Linked DNA regions of Callithrix jacchus. The protein of the gene in region 1 binds, or shares a complex with, the protein of each later gene. Links are inferred from orthologs where the notes say so. Each region holds a gene or a part of one and is shown on either strand. Other genes may lie near its edges. The genes, in order: UBE2E2, DET1 and RLIM.

What was found.
Region 2: the proteins of UBE2E2 (region 1) and DET1 are in contact, whole or in part, in a cryo-EM structure (PDB 9BJZ), measured with the Homo sapiens proteins. The link is inferred for Callithrix jacchus from reciprocal best matches to the Homo sapiens genes UBE2E2 and DET1. Residues at the interface, in NP_001357154.1 of Homo sapiens: Ala77, Gly78, Pro79, Lys80, Gly81, Arg88, Ser89, Thr90, Gly101, Val103, Phe105, Phe123, Arg124, Thr125, Arg126, Ser134, Gln135, Gly136, Gln194, Trp195, Arg198, Tyr199, Ala200, Thr201; in NP_001137546.1 of Homo sapiens: Arg258, Phe259, Tyr261, Asp264, Thr267, Val268, Phe272, Glu274, Asp289, Pro290, Phe291, Ile292, His297, Arg298, Leu300, Val301, Trp304, Arg305, Phe319, Phe320, Gln321, Phe323, Asp324, Arg327.
Region 3: the proteins of UBE2E2 (region 1) and RLIM are in contact, whole or in part, in a crystal structure (PDB 6W9A), measured with the Homo sapiens proteins. The link is inferred for Callithrix jacchus from reciprocal best matches to the Homo sapiens genes UBE2E2 and RLIM. Residues at the interface, in NP_001357154.1 of Homo sapiens: Lys52, Thr55, Lys58, Arg59, Lys62, Pro112, Asp113, Pro115, Phe116, Ile142, Asn146, Trp147, Ser148, Pro149, Ala150, Leu151, Thr152; in NP_057204.2 of Homo sapiens: Ser571, Val572, Cys573, Ile574, Thr575, Cys596, Arg599, Trp600, Pro608, Ile609, Arg611.

Annotation. Positions count from the first base shown.
Region 1 is NC_133518.1:61,544,636-61,548,284, forward strand, and holds part of UBE2E2 (ubiquitin-conjugating enzyme E2 E2), read left to right. Parts: intron 1-2,631; 5' UTR 2,632-2,639; coding exon 2,640-2,815; intron 2,816-3,649.
Region 2 is NC_133507.1:17,793,081-17,797,245, forward strand, and holds the start of DET1 (DET1 homolog), read right to left. Parts: upstream 2,855-4,165; 5' UTR 2,713-2,854; intron 2,510-2,712; exon of another isoform or gene 2,415-2,509; intron 560-2,414; exon of another isoform or gene 453-559; intron 1-452. UniProt on the Homo sapiens protein: Component of the E3 ubiquitin ligase DCX DET1-COP1 complex, which is required for ubiquitination and subsequent degradation of target proteins. The complex is involved in JUN ubiquitination and degradation.
Region 3 is NC_133524.1:72,260,146-72,263,794, reverse strand, and holds part of RLIM (E3 ubiquitin-protein ligase RLIM), read left to right. Parts: intron 1-1,116; coding exon 1,117-2,726; 3' UTR 2,727-3,649. UniProt on the Homo sapiens protein: E3 ubiquitin-protein ligase.

The DNA.
Region 1 (3,649 bases):
CCATATATTTGTCATGTAATGGATTGCTTGTGGTTTAAAATGTATAAAATGATGTCTCATTTCACAATTCTTAAGGTATTGCTGGCAGCATTTTGCTGTATCTGAGCACCTTTCCCTGAGTATTGTTCTCTTTTTCACTCCCATGCATGCCACCCTATCTGATATGCTATTATGTACATACTTTCAAGGTTTCAAACATCTGATAAAATTTAACTGAAAGAAGTAAGGTGAAAGAAAAACAATGTTAAATCCAAGAATAAGAATTTAGAGTGAAATAAAACTGAAAAAAAGCAAGAAATATGTTACGATTTTTAGAGCTAGCGGTGAAACATACTGATATAAAATTTCAGCATTCTATTAAGTGACTTTAGTGCTCATAAAAGATGTCACAGCTGTAGAGACTGATGCTCTTCATTTACAGAATAGGTAGAAAAGTAGTCAGCTTTTCCGTTAGTGTGTTTCAGAACTGTTGGGGCAGACCTGTTTTTGTTTGGCATGGGGAGCTGTTGTAGTTGAAGGGGTGCTGGTGGTGGTGTATGTGGTGTGTCAGTGAAAGCATTCACTGTTTTCTTTTGACTCTTTGCCTCTCTATGCTTCCTGATGCTTCCATTCTTTTCATTGCTTTCTGATTTGTCTTATAAAAATTTCAATCCATTAAAGATCCATGTTACAACATTGCTTTTGCTTAGAGCAAGCTACAAGTTAAATCTTTGTTAATGATGAATTTTAATTAGTGTCAAATAGCTATCTATTTGGACTAAATTATAGTAATTAAAATTTTTGCTTTATTTGAAGTATTTTTATGTATTCTTATTCTTGATCATATCAGAAACAGTTTTATTTGAACTTCTAATTTGATTAATCAAAAGAATCCATTTCAAAAGGAATTTGTTCAGTGTACCTATAATTTTTAAAGGTGTATTTTGTGTTAATGGTACTTGTTAAGCATAGGTAGTTTTGTTTTCAAAGAGGTGTCTGAGAAGGTAGCTATACAGTGCTCAAAGTGATTATTAGGTGATAAACCGTGGTAAGCACAAGGCCTTTTAGAGTCTGGACATAGGTTTTGTTGGTTCCGTTCTGGATTTGTCAGAATACTCTAAGCTAGTTAGCTCATAAGGGATGTATTCATAGTAATCAAACTCAGAAATTGATTATGATAGAATGGCAGTTGAGAAGAGATATTCCTTTTCACTTACAGGAATTGTGTCTGCTGTCTAGGTTATAACAGCTACCTAAATATCAAGGTATTTCGGAAATTGAGTTGGTAATCAGAGCTGCTCGGGGAGCATGAACTCAGAGGAGAGGGAATTTGAAAGCCTTGAGGAATATTTTAACCGGACTGTGAAAAAAAAAATTCTTCAGCGTCTCCATCTCTTATGAAAAATGGTTGCTTTAGTATACAGCTGAATCAATGCTGACACCATCATACGGTTCAGTTTTTATTTAGAATCATGCAGTCATGTAGACCTTTGTGTTCATCTGTTATTGCAAAGGTCACTTAAAATAATTTACTAGTTTGGAGAATTTTAACCATAACCCAGTGCTGAGGATGTACTGATTTGAATAGGGATTTTTAAGTGTCCACCCATTTTTCTGTTCCCACAGCTTTTTGTACAAACCTTCGTTTTAGTACTTAGCAAGTTGACTGGGCCAGGTTTTTCATAGTTGTAGGACCAAAGGGCTTAGCACAGCACCAGGTAGAGAGTAGACCCTTAATCATTTTTTTCCTATTTTTTATAACAGCATTATTATATGTAATTCATATACCATAAAATTTACCCTTTAAAAATGTAAAACTCTGTAGTTCTTAGAATATTTACAATTAGAATCATGCAATGTTACCATTATCTAATTTAAGAACATTTATATCACCCCAAAGGGAAGTATCATACCCATTAGCAGTCAATCCTCACTACTCTCCCTCCCCTCACTCCCTGGCAACCACTTACCCTCTTTATTTTTTTTATTAATTTTGTTTCCTTTGATACAGGGTATTACTCTGTCACTCAGGCTGGAATGCAGTGATAGTAATCTTTTTTTTTTTTTTTTGGTAGAGATTGAGTCCCACTATGTTGCCCAGGCTGTTCCTGCCTGGGCTTCCCAAAGCATTGGGGATTACAGGCATGAGATCTGCTTACTGAATTTTGTGTTTATGGATTTGCCTAGTCTGGACGTTTCATATAAATAGTCAAACAGTTTGTGGTCCTTTGTGGCTGGCTTCTTTCACTTACGATAATGTTTCAAGGTTCATCCATTTTGTAGCACGTAGACACTGTACTTCATTCTTTTTTATGGCTAATAGTACATTATGTGGATATACTACTACATTTTGTTTATCCATTCATCCCTTAGTGGATATTTGAGTTGTTTCCAATTTTGGTTATTATGAATAATGTCGCTGTGAACATTTCATGTATAAATTTTGTATGCTTTCATTTTACAATATACTTTGAATGGATGAAAGAAAAGTTATAGCAACTCTCAAAACTGCATTGTTTTGTAAATGACCAATTTATCCATTTTATATTGAGATTTACTTGTTTTCTTTGAGGCTCATTCTGTGTGTCATGGAAGTAGCGTACTGTAATTCTCCTCACAGCGGAATAAATGATTTTTGATTCTTTAATCTAGGATCTAAAATGTCCACTGAGGCACAAAGAGTTGATGACAGTCCAAGCACTAGTGGAGGAAGTTCCGATGGAGATCAACGTGAAAGTGTTCAGCAAGAACCAGAAAGAGAACAAGTTCAGCCCAAGAAAAAGGAGGGAAAAATATCCAGCAAAACCGCTGCTAAGTTGTCAACTAGTGCTAAAAGGTACCTCAGTTATTGTAACCTTTTTATTTTTGGTATCAGTTTATCATCTTAAGTTCTACTTTTCTTTTGCATTTAATCATTTTTTCCGGGATATTTAAGCCATGAACTTCATGGATTTTTCTTTCCCCTTACAGACGATCTTTTTTACATGGTTTTAACCATAGGGAACTTAAGTATTTAAAGTCAGTTAAATGGCATGGCAGATTCATAAAATACATATCCATAGTATGTTTGTGTTTTTGTGTATCATTAAGGAAGCATATACAGGATGTGCATGTAAAATTGCAGTGGTTTCATTTACAGTTACTTGACCATAAATTTTTTTTTCCTGTTCAGTAACACAGAATAGAGATTAAGAATCTATTGAAGTAGTTATTGAGTGAATGATAGTTTATTTTCCACTACTCTCAGTTGGTAAAGTCAGAAATGCTGACATTAGCAACAAGTGCATCTTGGTTTCATTACATTAGTCAGTGGGTCTGTCTTGATACACAGTTTCTCTTTCTCTAGAGGAATAGATGGATCTGGAAAGTAGGTATTTGAATGATTTTCTGTTGGTACATCAGTCTCTTAAGATAATTGACATGTCATTGGACTTAAAGGGAATCTGTTTTGATATTGTTACATTATAGAATATCTCTTGGAAAATAATTTGAAAGATAAATATAGTGTCTTTCCTGATTCTGTGATTTTATGTTCTTGCTTTGTTATTGTATGTTTTATATTGATCGAATAGGAAGTACAAATAAAAGTAGTCTAACTTTTAGGCATAGTGGAATGTCAGAATGTTGAATTACAGCTTTATATGTTATTGTATGATGTGGATTAAGGGGA
Region 2 (4,165 bases), on another chromosome or scaffold:
TGCCGAGGCAGCTGTAGTCACCCTAGAGCGGGTTATCTGGGCCCAGGCTCTCCCACACAGGACCTCAGCCCAAAAGGCAGAACTCATAGCTCTAACAAATGCCTTGGACTGGGCAGAGGGAAAAACTGTCAACATCTACACTGATAGCCGATATGCCTTTGCTATGGCCCATGTACACGGAGCCATTTATAAAGAAAGAGGGCTGCTTACCTCAGAAAGAAAAGTCATCAAAAGCAAAGAGGAAATCCTAGCCCTACTAGAGGCTATATGGAAGCCCAAGGCAGTGGCATTAACACACTGCAAAGGACACCAAAAGGGAGATTCACCAGAGGCAAGGGGAAATAGAGCAGCTGACCTGCAAGCCAGACAGGCAGCCTTGGGGCCAGTAAAACCTCTGACTCTTCTTGTGACTCTGCCGGCCCCAACCCTGCCCCCTACCCCTATGTACTCACCTGATGAAGAAAACTTTGCTAAAGAACAAGAGGGATGACAAGATTCCACAGGATGGTAGACTCTACTGGACACGAGGATTGTGCTCCCAGAGGCTCTAGGGTGGACTCTAGTTAAGGACACACACCAGGCCACACACTTAGGACAAACAAAACTCACTGAGCTACTGAGGGCCAGATACTGCATTCCACATTTACATGAAATTGTTAGGGAAACTATTACTTGATGTGATGTGTGTGCCAGGGTAAACCCAGGAGGCAGTAAGTCTAGTCAGGCAGAGATAAGACTTAGGGGTACTAGCCCAGGGAAACACTGGGAGGTAAATTTTACTGAAATAAAGCCCCCAGCATGTGGCTATAAATACTTCCTTGTGTTTGTAGACACTTTCCCTGGATGGGTCGAGGCTTTTCCTACTCGGTCAGAAACTGCACTGGTAGTAACCAAAAGACTGTTACAGGACCTGGTTCCTCAGTTCAGCTTGCCCCTGACACTGGGATCAGATAATGGCCCTGCGTTTACAGCACAGGTTTCTCAGGGCCTGGCCAAAGCCCTGGGCATATCCTGGAAACTACATTGTGCCTATCGCCCCCAGAGTTCAGGGCAGGTTGAAAAGATGAACCGGACCATAAAGTAGACTTTAACAAAATTCATTCTAGAGACCAGTGAAAACTGGGTTAACCTGCTTCCTTTTGTTCTCCTCCGTACCCGATGTACTCCCTATAAAAAAGGCTTCACTCCTTTTGAAATTATGTTTGGAAGGCCCCCTTCCTTACTCCCCAAACTTGCTGACACCATACATGCTGAAGTCCATAATCATACACTCCTTAAGTCCTTGCAGGCACTCCAGTCTGTTCAGTCCCAGGTGTACCCACTCATCAGGGAAATTCAACCTACCCCAGTGGACCTCACTGACCAGCCACTCCACCCCTTCCAGCCCAGGGACAAAGTCCTGGTAAAGAGATTCACCACATCTGGCCTAACTCCTCGCTGGAAAGGACCCTACACCGTGATCCTGATCACTCCCATGGCAATCAAGGTGGACAGACTGCCTGGATCTACCATGCACATGTCAAGACTGCCCCCCCTGGACACACAATGGAGTGACCTCAGCTTCAGCAGGCCACCTAAAGCTAAAACTTTCGCACTCCTCGCAGTAACCTTCCTTGTCCCCCTGATTCCTGGTGTAGCCCCCTCGGAGAGGGGCTTGACTCCCACCTATTACTGGTGGGTCCTTACTAAAAGATCCACTGGAGGGTATGTTAGTTCCTTAATTGAAAAGGGATCCAAAAAGAGAAAAACTATTAAAGATTTAATACATGTTAAAAGAACAGGGGGGAAGAATGTGCTATAGCGGGCCTTGAGTTAGAGCCTGAGCAATGTCATTTTATAAGACAAAGCTGTTTTTTCCAAAAATAAGTTGTACTGTCCCATTCTTCTTGCAATAACTGCTGACCTTGGCTTCTGTAAACAAAACTGCTAGCTTGCTCTAAAGAACGTACACTGCTTGCCTTTGTCTTAACAGTAACTGCCTGGCCTTTGCTTATCAGTAGTTACTGTAAAGTTGCTTGCCCTGCATCCACTATGTGGTTTTTCAGCTTATATACCCTGATCCCCCTGAGTTCGGGGCCACGGGTTGGAGAGACGTGAGTCCTCCGTGGTCGCTGGCAATAAAGAGCCTGCAATTTGGCATACTTTTGTCTTGGTTATTTCAGTCTCGCATCCAATACTTCAACAGGACTCGCCATTATTATTATACTTTGTCTTCTCCATAGTAATCGTCGCAAGTTGTATTTATACTTTCATTTGCATGGTTGTGTTTAATCTGATTCCCTTGCTAACCTGTACTCTGCAGACAAGAGGTAACCAGGTCACCCGGTATTCTCAGAGCCTGGCACTGGGGCTGGCACACCGCTGGCGTTTGGTACCAGTTCAGAAAGCCTGACTGAATTGGGACTCTAACTCACTGTGTGGTACTTAGTCCATTTCCTTTGCTGGGCCTCAGTTTGCCTACGGGGGAAGGTGTGTATGTCCCTCAATTCCTAGCGACCGCCTCTAAAACGAGAAGGGGATGCCAAGGGGCGGGCATACATGCCCAAAGGGGCGCCCCCGGAAAGAAAAGCCCGGGGCGGGGCCTCAATGGGAAGAGAATTCTGAGGGAGGGTGGGGGCTGCGGGCCTCTAAGTATCGGCGTCATGCGGGGAGGAGCCTGCTGGGGAGGGTCTGATGGGCGTGGAGGCTGGGCCAAAAATGGTAAGTCCTCACCTGTCTTGTCCAGGCTCAAAGAGCCAAGGAGAAGGATGCCCCAGCCTGTTCCGTGCGCGCCTCCCCCTGCCCCGCCCCCGCCATGCCTCAGGACCCCAGCGCCGGGCTGCAGGTTCCCATTTCCGCCAGCCACCGGAAGTGCAGCCCAGCAAGGAGGGAAGTAGAAGAGAGCGCAGCACTGTTCAGCCAACACTAAGAGACGTGTACAGCGCACCCTGGTGCCTGGAGGAGGGATCGAAGCCATAGAGGCTTAGTGGCAGCGGAAGAAAAATTAACGTAGTACCTAACCTGGGCATCTCTGACAGTTCCAACAACAGTGTCTCTGTGCCTGCAGAGCACATTTGAAATATATGAATAGAATTAATCTTTCACCTTTTGATTAGATGCTGAGAAACTACCTACTATGTTATCTTCTAGATAGTGAGCCCCTTGAAGACTGAGATTGTATTGATCATCTCTGACTAGCAAGGAATGTGCCTTGCTAGTGTTCAGATGGAGTGGATTTTTAAATGGTGTCACTCTGGCTCTCCTAGGCTCCTGTTTTTATAACAAAAAGATCTTCAACATCATTAGTTATCAGAGAAATGCAAATCAAAACCACAGTGAGATACTACTTTGTACCCCTTAGGATGGCTAGAATACCTTTAAAAGAAAAACATCACATACTGGTAAGGATGTAGAGAAATCAAAAGCCTCATATGCTGCTTCTGGGAAGGGTGCAGTTACTGTGGAAAACAGTTTAGCCGTTTCTCAAAGTTAAACATGAAGTTACTATTTGACACAGAAATACCTCTAGGTATATAACCAAGAGAAATTAAAACGTGTCCACACCAAAACTTGAACACAAGTGTTCATAGCAGTATTATTTATACTAGATAAAATATGTAAACAACCTAAGTGTCCATCAGTAGATGAATGGATAAACAAAAGGCTGTATATTCATACAATAGATATTGTTCAGCATTAAAAGAGGATGAAGTACCGATACTTGCCACAGCATGAGGAACCTTGAAAACATTCTGCTAAGCGAAAGAAGCCAGACACAAGAGGTCACATGTTATATTGCTCCACTTACATGAAACATCCAAGATAGGCAAATCTCTAGAGACAGAAAGTAGATGAGTAGTTGCTGGGGGTAAGTGAAAAGGAGAATTAGGAGTTATTGCTTGTGGGTATGGGGTTTCTTTTTGGGGTAATAAAAATATACAGAAGTAGATAATGGCAATGGTTACACATGTCTGTTAATATACTCAAACCGTCTGAATTGTACTTTTTTTTTTTTTTGAGACAGAGTTTCGCTCTTGTTACCCAGGCTGGAGTGCAATGGTGCGAGCTCACCGCAACCTCCGCCTCCTGGATTCAAGCAATTCTCCTGCCTCAGCCTTCCGAGTAGCTGGGACTACAGGTGCACACCACTATGCCCAGCTAATTTTTTGTATTTTTAGTAGAGACG
Region 3 (3,649 bases), on another chromosome or scaffold:
TAACCTTTGTGATGTTTGTGTTAATTGGGACACCATGAGAAATGGCCTATTTAAATGTGATTTTCTTTGTTTGTTTTCTACCTCCATTGAAATGTATTCCTACTTACTTCCTTTTTTATAAATGTGAACTTTTTCACCAGCAAAAAAAAAAAAGTTGTCTAAACCCAGTGGTTCCTAATGAGATGTAATTTTGCCCCATATGGGACATTGGCAACGTCCAGAGACACTTTTGGTTGACACAACTGGGAATCTGCCACAGGCGTCTAGTGTGTAGAGGGCAGAAATGCTGCCAAACATCCTGACGTGCCTTAATGCACAACGTAGCCCCATGACAAAGAATTAACTGGCTTGAAATGTCAGTAGTGCCACTGTTGAGAAATCCTGCTCTAACCTCAGGTCTGGTGTTTCCCTCCCAGTGTCAAGTAGGGATTTTGATTGTGTAACTTCAGAGGCTACGATAATAATTTGGTTCTTGAACATGCCATTATATATGCTATCCAAAGTGCAGACTACTTATTTGATCTGATATTTAATATCATGTCCATTGAAAATCTTGGTAATACTAAGAAATATTCAAGTGCTTTTAAACCTGTAAATTTTGTTTATATTTTTGCTGTGGCTACAATAGTCCTGTATTTTGAAACAACCTCAAGTGTTATCAAAGACACATAAGTCAAAAGCCTAGAAGTAATGAAAACTTGACAAAAATGTAGCTTGAACTAAATATGACTGTTTGTTAACCACTGTTTCCTTACCTAGTTTGATTACATTAGTGTTTTGGCAGAGGGCTGAAAAAATGTCTTCTGACCATCCCACAGTGGTATGCTTAGCTCTGTATATGATAAAATACTGAAAATAGACATCCTCCAGATTCCCTTTAAAAATCAAATAATTCTCTAAATTTCTCTACTATAGTTTGCTTTTTTCAAATGGAATTAGAATATTTTTGCCAAATAAGTATAAATTTGAGCAGTGTAGTTTGTAAAAATCCGTAATTGTGAAATGTGTTCAGAATTTTTAAGGTCTTTAATGCAGAGTTTCAGAGCACTTATTATATGATTGTCCTCATTTTAGTAGTTCCTTTTTCTCCCTCTCCCCCTCCTTTCTTTTGAACAGGAGGAGACTCTTCAGATGATGTGTCTAATGGTGACTCTATAATAGACTGGCTTAACTCTGTCAGACAAACTGGAAATACAACAAGAAGTGGGCAAAGAGGAAACCAATCGTGGAGAGCAGTGAGCCGGACTAATCCAAACAGTGGTGATTTCAGATTCAGTTTAGAGATAAATGTTAACCGTAATAATGGGAGCCAAAATTCAGAGAATGAAAATGAGCCATCTGCAAGACGTTCTAGTGGAGAAAATGTGGAAAACAACAGCCAAAGGCAAGTGGAAAACCCACGATCTGAACCAACATCTGCAAGGCCATCTAGATCAGAACGAAATTCAACTGAAACATTAACAGAAGTCCCACCTACCAGAGGTCAGAGGAGGGCAAGAAGCAGGAGCCCAGACCATCGGAGAACCAGAGCAAGAGCTGAGAGAAGTAGGTCACCTCTGCATCCGATGAGTGAAATTCCACGAAGATCTCATCATAGTATCTCATCTCAGACTTTTGAACATCCATTGGTAAACGAGACAGAGGGAAGTTCTAGAACCCGGCACCATGTGACATTGAGACAGCAAATATCTGGGCCTGAGTTGCTAAGTAGAGGTCTTTTTGCAGCTTCTGGAACAAGAAATCCCTCTCAAGGAGCAGGTTCTTCAGACACAGCTGCCAGTGGTGAATCTACGGGATCAGGACAGAGACCGCCAACCATAGTCCTTGATCTTCAAGTAAGAAGAGTTCGTCCTGGAGAATATCGGCAGAGAGATAGCATAGCCAGCAGAACTCGGTCTAGGTCTCAGACGCCAAACAATACTGTCACTTATGAAAGTGAACGAGGAGGTTTTAGGCGTACATTTTCACGTTCTGAGCGGGCAGGTGTGAGAACCTATGTCAGTACCATCAGAATTCCTATCCGTAGAATCTTAAATACTGGTTTAAGTGAGACTACATCTGTTGCAATTCAGACCATGTTAAGGCAGATAATGACAGGTTTTGGTGAGTTAAGCTATTTTATGTACAGTGATAGTGACTCAGAGCCTAGTGGCTCAGTCCCAAATCGAAATACAGAAAGGTCAGAGTCACGGAGTGGGAGAGGGGGTTCTGGTGGTGGTAGTAGTTCTGGTTCCAGTTCAAGTTCCAGTTCCAGTTCAAGTTCCAGTTCAAGTTCTAGTCCTAGTTCCAGTTCCAGTGGTGAAAGTTCAGAAACTAGCTCAGATTTATTTGAAGGCAGTAATGAAGGAAGCTCATCATCAGGCTCATCAGGTGCCAGGCGAGAGGGTCGACATAGGGCCCCCGTCACATTTGATGAAAGTGGCTCTTTGCCCTTCCTTAGCTTGGCTCAGTTTTTCCTCTTAAATGAGGATGATGATGACCAACCTAGAGGACTCACCAAAGAACAGATTGACAACTTGGCAATGAGAAGTTTTGGTGAAAATGATGCATTAAAAACCTGTAGTGTTTGCATTACAGAATATACAGAAGGCAACAAACTTCGTAAACTACCTTGTTCCCATGAGTACCATGTCCACTGCATCGATCGCTGGTTATCTGAGAATTCTACCTGTCCTATTTGTCGCAGAGCAGTCTTAGCTTCTGGTAACAGAGAAAGTGTTGTGTAATTAAGATCTGAACTCTCAGCTATGTAGCTGATATAGTGATGGGCAAACAGGAATCACTTGCTTTTATGTCCACTTTTTGAGTGGTACTTAAATGTAAAGTAACAACCTGAATTGAGTCATTGCTTTCTGAAGGAATCGTTGTCCTTTCTCCAGTTTTTGTTCCAGAATAAAAGGAATATTTAAAGGAAATATTTTAAAAGCCACGTTTTAGGACCTAAAAATCTGATTTCCATACCAGTTAAATTGGTAACATCACTGTTACTGATAATTTATCATTATACTTGTTAATTTTTCCTTTGTTATCTTAAAAAAATCTGCCTTAGCAATGGCTCCTATCTGTTTCATGTTGATCTTTAAATTTTTCCACGCCATAGGAGAGAAGGGTGAAGGAAATTACCAGTTTAGACTAAGTTACAGTATGTGTCTCATAAGTAATTAAAGCTATACCATTCCCGGTTATTAGTTGACACAAATTCAGCGGCATTCTGAATATTGTTTGTTCACCTTTCAGAGTTGGTGATACTGGACATGTCAGTGTAAATAACACTAAGGTTAGGATCTAAGTGTATAACTGTCTCCTAAGCCCATCACTGTGGCACACTGTAGAGTGAGCTTATAGTTTAATTGAGATATTTATCTTGTGGAAATATTAAAAAGCCTATGCTTGTGTAAGTGAAAAAAATCACATTCATTTGTTTAAAAATGTAAAGCTATTTTGTAGAGGCTCAGTACTTTTTTCCAATGCACTGTTGTATGATTGCATTAAAAATTGTAAAGTACCATGCTTAGAACTGAGGAAACTGCTTTTTGTGAGCCAACATAGTAACAAACACACCAAACAAAGTACAAAGCTGCTTTTGTAAGTGTGTAGATGTCAAGAGCAGAACATATCTATAATATTTAATGTATGTGAACAGCTACTG